Drosophila melanogaster: one gene and its partner. The protein of the gene in region 2 purifies or fractionates together with the protein of the main gene of each other region. This does not show direct contact. Each region holds a gene or a part of one and is shown on either strand. Other genes may lie near its edges.

Region 1 (6,350 bases), on a different chromosome or scaffold from region 2:
CGAAAGCGAAAAATCGGTGTATAGTTCCCTGTCCGTGCGCCATAGCAATTAGAGCTTTGTATTATTTGTATAACCAAAAATATTGATTAATAAATTCTCAGTGCAATTATAATAGTGTAGTGACCTATTAGATACCTATACTCAAGTACCCCTGCGTATTTGGAATTTGCATTCTTATTATCAACTTGCAAGCTCCTTCATGGCTAGATCGACTCGGCTACTGATCCTCTTTTAAAAATAATGCTTGTGTAACGTATATATTACACAAACATCGGGCTTACTTTTCACTAGTCTAAGCAAATTCTTGTCTTAATTTATAAAAATATAAAATATTTTGCAACACTTTAAAATATTTTATGGGAGTACAGATAATAAGTGCTCTTCTTTTTGCAGTGTTTTTATTTTAGTGTAACATACAACAGTTCTTCGCTTAAATCGATGGTTTTGATACTACAAATATTACACTGATGCTTTCTCTACCAGCTTGGCCATCATCTTCTCCTCCTTGGCCTTTCGCTTGGCCTCCTTCTGCTTCTTCTTGTCCTCCTTCTCTTTTTGCTCTAGCATTTCCTTAAAGCGTTCGTCGCGTGTATCCACCTTGAACCCGAAGTGTCGGCGCACCTCCTCTACCAGGCGTTCCTTGCGTTGTATGGCTGCCGCTGCATCCGCCTCCCGCTTAGCGATCTTCGCGTGCAGGTCCGCCTTCCACTGTGTCAACTTCTCCATCTTCTTCGCAATGTCCTCTTCACGGGCATTTATCCTTGCCAGCTCCTCTGCCTTCTGCGCGCGGTTCTTCTCCAGCATTTTCAGGAGTGTTTCTAGTTGCATAACCTGCCTGCTGTCTTTCTCTCCGTGGGAATCGAAGCAAATCTTGGGATTCACATTGCTCTGGGCCCCATACCGGCCGAATGCCTGTCTCTGGTACTTCTCGGTCAAATGAATCCAGGAGTGAGGTTCCTGGTATGGCAATTTGTTAAGGAGCACATTTTTGTGTTGTGGTTGCAGGCCGGATCTGTCCACCGTCTGGGGATATGTTGGTTCCACATCCACGTCGCCGACCAAGGAAGCCGGCAGTTCCGCTTTCGCAGCGCTCGAGTACTGGGCGCACGAGCGGAGGGCAGGAAGTCTGGTGACAACGCTTATCTTGCCTACATTCATTTTGAATTGTATTGTCTAAGCAAAATAGTTTATTAATTTCCAATAGAGATGAGAGAAAATCGATAGCGATGACACCAATGCTGGCAACTAAACCCTTTTGGAGCTAAATTCAGATATTTTTTAGGCCCCGTCAGAAAGATAAGTAATAGATATTAATTGTTGTGACAGTCTGGCTGCATCCCAGCTCAAGCTCTATATATTTCTTTTTTCCTTGCTATTTATTTCTATCAATTTGTAATTATCGTTTCCACGATTTGTTACTGACATTTTACTTGTCAGTTTTTATTCCGAAAATAGATTTCTGAGGCTTAAAATTATCATTTTTATGTTGTCAGCTCAAAATATAAAAGAAACATAAATTGATTATACATACGGGCGGCGCACAAGTGTACCCTTAATATACCAATCGTTATCGACAACAATGGTACGTGCACATATGCCCTAATGCAAAACTAAATTCTTGAAAGCGCGGAATTGCATTTAAAACAACTCGTTTTACTTAAGTTGAAATAAGCATTTGCTCGGATAAAAGCCTACGCCACGACATGGCGGGGGATCGTGCCTTAAGTTCCAAGCAATTGGCGGGGCGCATACATTCCGTGTACTGCAAAGATTTCGTGTAGGTTTATTTCCATCAAAGGCGCAAATTGACAATTTCGCGGCTCATTTGATTATTTCCAACAACAGATCCTACAGCGAGATCACATTCCATCCGAAGCACTACCTGAACGTTCTGACCGGTCCCAATGGCAGTGGCAAGTCCACCATCGTGTCGGCCATAATTTTGGGCCTCGGAGGGGAACCGATTCTCCTTGATCGCTCCGCCAGCGTTGCCGACTACATACAGAGCAACAAAACCTCGGCCACCATAATTGTCCGGGTGTATGGACGCACGCCCAACACCACGGAAACCTTTCGGCGCATAATAAACTCTAATGGCTTGTCTACCTTCTCTGTGAACGACAAAGACACCTCCAAGAAGAACTTTTTGGCTGCTGTATCCTCCTTTAACATACAAGTCAGCAATTTGTGTCAGTTCCTCCCGCAGGATCGGGTTCAGGTATGTCGTTATGTTGGCAATTCATAAATTACACACCTATTTATTGTAAACATACTGTTTCAGGACTTCTCCAAGATGAATCCTCAAGAGCTTTTGCTCAACACAATGTCCTCCGTGTGTGACGAAGACCTGATCAACAGCTTCAACAGTCTAAAGCAAATGCGCACAGAACAGGCGAATGTCCATGCTAATCGGGAAAAAGAGAAAAGTGATCTGGTTAAGAAGCAAAAACGATTGGAACAGTAAGATATAGTTACCCGAGCTTATTTTTATTCACTAAGTAAAATGTAACCAAATGTGTGGATGAAGTACAAAATTTTAATTCTTACTAAAAACCTAATTGTCTTAATATCATTTTATTAGCTTACAAATGACTGTGTCCCAATATAAAGAACGCGAAGAGGTCAAGCAAAAGCTGCAGGTGTACAGTGCGAAGAAATTGTGGGTTGAGACTCAGGCTGGAGAAGCCAAGGCCGCAGAAATGAAAACTCAAGTGAAAAACGCAAAAACTCAGAGCGACAAATTGAAGAACCAACATGACAAACTTCTTCAATCCCAAGAACAAATTGAGAAGGAAAAAGAATCACTCAGAAAGGCCTTATTGGAAAAGGTAATGGGTGGCAGTGTTTTTTAATATATTTTTTAAAAATAAGTTTTTTTAGACACGCTTATTAGAAAACGCTGTAGCGGAGAAGGCGGCTATTGATGGTAAAATGGACTCTTTGAAGCAAGGAATTTACCAAAAAAAATATGAACTGGAGGTTGGTGTTCTTGTTGCATATATCGATCATGTGAATAACTCTTAATCTTACATTCTGTCACATAGCAAAACATTAAAAAATCACGAAGAACGGCCACAGAGTGTGATAACCTAAATCAGTTGGTGGAGAATAAAATTTACGAGCTTGAAACCCTAAATAAGAGCAGGCCTCTGATCGTTTCGGAACTTGAAAGGGCTAAGGAATCGTGCGCAGCTGCCCGCGGGAAAGCAATGGAGCAGTACAGCAGACGGAGACAACTGGAACAAAAACTGAATGATGAAATGATTCCTGAAATTACTGCGTATAAACTTAAAATAGAGCGGTTGAGAAACGTCAAAATGCAAAAGATTGATGTAAGTTCTTACTGAAATAATGAAAACTCAACTTAACGCTACCTTTCATTTTAGGAAATTAGAGCAAAAAATCCGAATTTGGTTGTGGCCATGAACTGGTTGGCGCAAAATAAGCAAAGGTACAAATTGAACGTTTATGACCCAATGATACTTGAGGTGAGCTTTTCAAAATGAAGCCATTACCAATGGCCTAATGTTAAAACCGCTATCATAGCTTACAGTACAAAATCATGAGGACGCAAAGTTTTTGGAAAACGTTGTGGCGCAGCGCGATTTATTTGCATTTGCGTGTGAGGACAAGGGGGATATGTCGGACCTGATCAACGAGTTGTGTGTGAAGCAAAAATTGGGAGTTAACGTTATTTACTGCGCACCATCCGATAGACTCGTGTACAGTCCCAAAACTCCCATCGATGATCTGCGGTATGCACTTGTCAATTGTCCAATACTAGTCCAATACCTAGTTTTAAATACTTTTACAGCTCTTTCGGATTTCGGTCATACCTCGTGGATCTTGTCACGGGACCAATACCACTAATAAACAAGCTGTGCGCTTCCTATTCCATTCATAATATACCAATTGGCACAGAAGCTGTGGGCAATTACACTTCATCCATTCCAAAAGCTATCCGAGTTTATTTCGGCGGTGTGTATATTTTTCTTATTCGGTTTCGCTTCGCAAATGTATAAATTCTGATTTTGAATTCCGTACTGTGCATTTTAGGCAGCAAGAAGTTCGTTGTGACCGCATCCCGCTATCGGTCGGATACTATTCTAACTGAAAGTAGCATTCGAGCGAAGAACCAACTTATTACAGTGGACTCACAACAACTGGCCCTGGTGATGAAACAGTGCTCCGAAGCAGTGAAGGAAAGCGACAGCATTAAAAACGCAATAACCCAGACCGACAATGAATTTGAACGATTGCAAGCTGTTGCAAAGGATGAGCAAGAGAAGAGACGAAAGCTTGACCAAAAAATAGCCCATTTTAATAGCCTGAAAACCGAAATTGAAACGCTCCAAAAGAAGCTGGAAGCCCTGCGCAATAGCGATTGTAAGTATTTCTTAGTGCACTAAATATTCAGCCATTATGAACCGTGTTTTTTCAGCGCTAGACTGTCTTGAAACCAATTTTTGTAACAGTTTGCATAAAGACTTAAAAAAAATATTCGATGCTGATGCGGAATTGTGCTCGTGCTTGAAAGCTATTGACCGACTTATAATTGAAAAGAATATGGCCCAGACAAAGGTATCCATTTATATGCTGCAACATGAGACTCAAATTGAAGCCCTCAAGGAAAGCGAGGAACAGAGTAAAGCAGCAACCGTAAGGAAATCGAAATGCACTTAAGGAATTTATTTATAGGAATGTTTTGCTTGCAGAGAGACTTCCAACAGTTGCTGCAGTGCTTAGAAAATCAAATTAGCGACGTTAACAAACGAAAGAGCGCTATTCAGGGCCTTTGCCACGGAGAAATTCCAACCAGTAGCAAATTTCCTTTTAAGAAGGAATTTAGGGAGCTGGAAAATATAGATTTGCCCGAACTACGAGAGGCAATACATGACTTTCAGGCACGATTGGAGTGCATGAAAAGTGTAAACTCCGAGGTAAAACACTCTTTTAAATTAGTGAACTGAAGCTGATATATCTAATAACTTTCCATATTAAAATATGCAGGCCATCAGCAGCTATCAAGGACTGCAAAATGAAGTCAAGCAACTGGAGGAAGGAATTCAAGAGTCTGTTAACCAAGCAAAGAGCATCGAGTCTGGCATGTCCAATTTATACGACAAATGGGAGCCCAAACTTAATAGCTTGGTAGAAACAATCAGTACCAAGTTCAGCGAATTTATGGAGTCCATTGAATACGTGGGAGAAGTTGTGTTATCCAAAACCGACAAAGTGAGAACTTAAACTGTCCTACATAAAAACTTTACTTCAAATGTATTTCACTTTATTAATTCTAGTATGACTTTGACTCATATGGTATTCAGATAATGGTCCAGTTCAGGAGAGGTCTCCAGCTGCAGCCGCTGGACAAGTTTATTCAATCTGGTGGCGAACGCGCAGTGTCCATCGCCATATACTCATTGTCCTTGCAACATGTCACCCACGTGCCATTCAGGTGATTGCGGAACCCAGCTGCAAACTGACGCCCGATTTATAGTTCTCCATTTCTAGGTGTGTCGATGAAATAAATCAAGGCATGGACGCTACAAATGAACGTCACATATTCGACTTGCTCCTCAAAGAAGCCACCAAGCACGGCTCGGCTCAGTATTTATTTGTAACACCTAAGGTAAATATAAATGCTTATTCATTTAAATATTTAGTTAACTGTTTTAAATCTTCTTTGTAGTTGCTTCGAGACCTGAACTACAACGAACATCTCTGTGTTTCCATTGTTCACAACTCAAAAACTGTTTGCCATGGCATGCAATTCCCGATGGCTTAGACACTTTGGGTCATCCAGATTTACTATATGTATTTTTTTATATTAAACACTACAAAACATATCTATTGCATTTTGTCGAATGACCAGCCTTGTGGGGACTCCTTTTCGAACTGTTGGCCTACTCGGAATAAAATCTGTAAGCCGGTAAACAAGTCCAAAGGCAATGATGCCTGACGATTTGTTTTATCAGATTTCAATTTGTCCTCGATTTAAAACCCTACAACAGCACCTATATCTTATTTCATATGTGAAATGATTTTAACACTACAATGCGAATACTTTTAAGTAAAGAGATGCCTTTGTACATATGTTTTTTAAGTAATTGGATAAACTATTTTGGGATGTTAAAAAATATATTTATATTTATATATATATTTATATATATTTAGATATGCAATTTAATGCAAATCATTTCTTTACAGGGTTAATATTAAGCAAAGTATGTCAAAAGTATGATCCCTCGACGCAAACTATAAAAGTTCAGGTTAACTTCAGATAGATGGTTAGTTTTTTATCAGCTCCAAAGAAGTCGGGTTTTGATCGCAATCCGTGTGTGCCCTTA
Region 2 (4,106 bases):
GTAATCGAAAGAGATCTGAAAGTTACCCCTCTTGGGGATCAGATTAATTTTCACAGCAGCCGTTATGCCGACAGGCTTATGGTCCACCCGAACCGACTAGCAAATAGCCTATCTAATCCCATCTCCCTCCGAAGGCTGAAGAGGGTACACCCCACCGATCTCCCTACACCCTTACACAATAAGTAATTAATAACTAGATACATTTTCCCTTTTGTACTTAATAATTAAGAAACCACTTGGTCTAATATACCTTTATACACACATAAGGTTAAGTTCAGAGGAATTGACCGAACGATTCCTTTTGGAACCAAAATAAATAGAATGAAGTTTAAAAAAAAAAAAATATATTGTTATATATATACAAAATTGGAGGGAAAAAGTCTCTTTAAAGACACTTCATGTTCCACCTGTTTCCAATTTATCCTGTTTTATCGACCCTTTAATGATCTCAGAATTCCATGTCTGACTTCTGTCTCAAAAAATAGTAGCCAACAATAAAAAATGAGATTGAGACAAACCTGTTGATATGCGTTGGGACCATTTTATTTATTATATTATATGTATGTTACATTGTTAAATTGCGTTTGGAAAAATGCCTACATAATACTTTGACACTCCTTTCGGTCGTTCTTATATTATTCTAGCCTGAGATGGTTTCATACATCAAAAGTGAAGTCTTTAGTTTTTATAGTTGTATTCAAATATTTTTGGGCGCCACTGATTACATAGGACAACTTAAATAACTAATTTTTTCTGAATCACAAGAACAGACATTATTTGCCGTCTCTAACATAGTTAAGCGTTTTTTTTTAAACTATATTATATTAAGGCTCACAGAGCAAAAAATGTGAAATAGTATAAGCAACTTACAAGTAAATGCGAAAGAATTGACGTGCGGTCAGCTTCTTGTTGCATATTGGGCACTTGTGCGTAGCTCTGATGGCTGTTTCGATGCATTCGCGGCAGAAGACGTGTCCACATTTGGTTGACACTGGCTCGCGCTTCGATACACTGTCCATGCAGATGGGGCACTTGTATAACTCCTCTTTTTGGGACTCATCAATGTCGCGATTAACGCGTTTTGGTGGCGACGCAACGTCGAGATCCACTACCGGGTCATTTTCGGCTGACCGACGTGGCAGAATGGTGAGGGAGTCGTTGGAGTGAAGATTCACTGTGCGACTTCTTGGGCCTTCGGGGGTGCATAGATCGATGAAAGCATCGGGATCACGATTCCGAGCGGATCGAACAGGTGGTGCACGGTCCAAATGGGACAGATCTATCACTTCTACTGGACTCGCTACGGAAAAAGTAAGAAACGGTATTCGGTTTATTGCTAGCTCTATCCGCGAAAGCTATCTGGTTTTCACAAAATTTTAAAAAATATAGATAAATTTTGCCTTCAAAAGTAAGTAACCCGGCAGGGTTATAGAAAGAACTATGTCATTGGTTATTGTGGAATTAAAAACATTGTTCATTGTGAAACCCAGATGCGTTCATTTTGATCTGCACTTACTTCTGCGGCGAATTCTACGAGTTGTTGGCGTTGAGGTTCTCGTGGCGAAGGTGTCAATCTGTGCCACAACTTCCTCGCAGTAGCGATTCACTGAAATATGAAACAATTAACAGAAAACTTCGTAATGATTATGGAGTGACATACTGCGATCCAACTCTGCTTCCATCTGGATCACATCCTGGGTAAGTGATCTGATCTGCGAATGAGCATCTTCAGTCGAGACAGACAAGTTAGCCATATTTAAGGGGTTATTGCTTTGCGGTGACTGCAGTTGGTTTGAAGCTTCTCCGACTGAAGATTCGCTGGTATTGGTGGCTGAAGATGAGTCTGATTCCACAGATAAATCACGCTCCACTGGGGATGGGCGTTCCAAGGACGAATGGGAATCAGCGGATGAATCAGATTCCGCGGATGACTGAGATTCCACGGATGTATTGTGTCCCGAATTGGATTCTATGGATGAATGGGAGTCCACAGAAGAGTCGGATACACTGGAATTGGAGCTCGAACTGGATACGTTGCTGTCCGCTGACTGATCAAGAATGGATGAGTTCTACTAAATAAATCAATCATAAATCGGAATTAACTAGTTTAAAGTCCAGGGTATACTTACAAAACGGAAAATAGTCGAATCTGACATTGTTCGAGCAACAAATGACCAGGAAACTTGTGAAATGATTTCGTAGTAAAGACAAAAGCAGGTGAACCCAGATATACATGTGCTTTAGTGCAGATTGAAATGTGCAAAATAGTTTCCTCCTTTCACGCGACCATTCGGTTATTTTAAAGATGACACTTTACGGACATTCGGGAACAAGGATTTAAGATCGACTATCGATTTTTGCGGTATTATACAATGCTGTTTAGAATGACACTTGTAATTCAATAAAAATCAATAATTTATTAAAAATAAAATTTCCGTTTCGGCGAAATTCTTTGATAACAAAATAATTATAAGAAATGTATATAAATATGTCGACATTACAAAACCATACCATCACTATGTAAACGATATTTTTTAGGCGATTAAATGCCATCGATATATACCGTGCCGTGGTAGTGTTAGAAAATTGCGGGAATTAACGTTAAATGCACGTCACCAAAGCAGAATAATAGAATATTTTCGAAACAAAACAAAGTTGGAGACATGGACAAGGATGCGTTTACATTACAGGCCATACGGCAGGACCTTATCGATAACAATCTGCAGGCTAAGGCAATAATACACGTAAGTCTCCGCTATCTGAAGAGAAACCCTCATTACCGAGCTTCTGTTTTTAGGACATCCTGAACAGCCGCACCTCCATCGCCGAACTCGAGGAGCTGAACGAAGCGGGCCGCTCCAAACTGTCTGCTATCCGCAAAAGCATCGAGCGGCTGGACGACTGGGCGCGGGACACGGCAGACTCTGCGCTGGCCAATGAAGTGGACGACCACCGTGATCAGTTCTCCAAAACGCTGCAGGCGTTCCGAAAAGCAAACGTGTCCACGATGCTGGAGATCGAGAAGGCCAATCGGGAGGAGTTAATGGCCATTACCGGCGAGAGTGAGCTACGCCAACGAACCACAACACGGGCGCGGCACAACCAGGGCAGTCTGGTTTCGCAGGAGAACGACGTGACCGAGAAGATGCTGGCTATATCGCGGCACCTCTCGGAGACCACCCAGAAGAGCGCCATCACCCTGGAAACGCTCGTGGCCTCGTCGCAAAATGTGGAGGCCACCAGCGACGAACTGCACCACACGGCCGGCAGCATTAGCATGTCCGGCAAGCTGCTCAAAAAGTACGGACGACGCGAGTGCACTGACAAAATGCTGCTCTTCTTCGCCTTCTCCTTGTTCCTCGCCTGTGTCTTTTACATCGTCCAAAAGCGACTCTTCTAAGACTCCACAAATGGACAAAACCCGTTCCCAAAATAGCTTAAGGTTGTCGCTTCTGTTGTCTAGGTATAGCTAGATTAAGCTTAGCACATGACCATACCTTGTAAGCACAGCTCCTATATTTATATTATTTAGTGATTTGCCTAAGTTGTAAACGTGGTACAGCCAAAGACCCTAGAATAACAAGATGCGTAACGCCATACGATTTTTTGGCACACGATTTTTTGGCCGTGGCTCTAGAGGTGGCTCCAGGCTCTCTCGAATTTTTGTTAGAGAGCGAGAGAGCGAAGAGCGCTACAGCGAACAGCTCTTTTCAACGCACAAAGTGATAGCAGACATCTGTATGTGTGCACACGTATTCACATGCATTGTAAATTTGACAAAATATGCCCTTCACCTTAGAAGTTCTTTGGCTTTAAATCTATATTATTTTTTATCAATTGGCACCATGCGAAAAATTCTTGTTTTGCATTGCCTTAACGTTATTATTATTTGAAAATAGATTAGAAATAGTCAAATCTATGTACATATTATCACAAAAATAAATTTCAAAAATGAATTTATATAAGAATATTTGTCATTAGAGTATTCATCTTGCGGCGTGTGAAAAATTAATAAGGCAATGATTGTTGAGTGCTTGTGTCCGCACTTCGTGCCTCAAGATATGAACAAAGCAAAGACACTAGAATAATTCTATTGTCTTTGATAT

Evidence for each region.
Region 1: the proteins of dgrn (region 2) and SMC5 purify together in Drosophila melanogaster (affinity purification with western blotting, with the first as the bait; one study listed by BioGRID). This does not show direct contact.

The regions. Positions count from the first base shown.
Region 1 is NT_037436.4:21,567,676-21,574,025, forward strand, and holds SMC5 (structural maintenance of chromosomes 5), read left to right. Parts: upstream 1-1,576; 5' UTR 1,577-1,703; coding exon 1,704-1,777; intron 1,778-1,845; coding exon 1,846-2,218; intron 2,219-2,281; coding exon 2,282-2,460; intron 2,461-2,581; coding exon 2,582-2,828; intron 2,829-2,880; coding exon 2,881-2,979; intron 2,980-3,044; coding exon 3,045-3,332; intron 3,333-3,386; coding exon 3,387-3,488; intron 3,489-3,546; coding exon 3,547-3,755; intron 3,756-3,814; coding exon 3,815-3,978; intron 3,979-4,056; coding exon 4,057-4,386; intron 4,387-4,441; coding exon 4,442-4,659; intron 4,660-4,715; coding exon 4,716-4,940; intron 4,941-5,010; coding exon 5,011-5,235; intron 5,236-5,300; coding exon 5,301-5,458; intron 5,459-5,514; coding exon 5,515-5,632; intron 5,633-5,692; coding exon 5,693-5,788; 3' UTR 5,789-5,848; downstream 5,849-6,350. Other genes in the region: CG7634 (uncharacterized protein), read left to right, coding at 1-52; CRIF (CR6-interacting factor), read right to left, coding at 460-1,158.
Region 2 is NT_033777.3:5,822,999-5,827,104, reverse strand, and holds dgrn (degringolade), read right to left. Parts: upstream 2,491-4,106; 5' UTR 2,157-2,490; coding exon 2,130-2,156; intron 2,073-2,129; exon of another isoform or gene 2,070-2,072; coding exon 1,661-2,069; intron 1,607-1,660; coding exon 1,517-1,606; intron 1,301-1,516; coding exon 867-1,300; 3' UTR 529-866; downstream 1-528. Other genes in the region: Sec20 (secretory 20), read left to right, coding at 2,664-2,744, 2,798-3,400.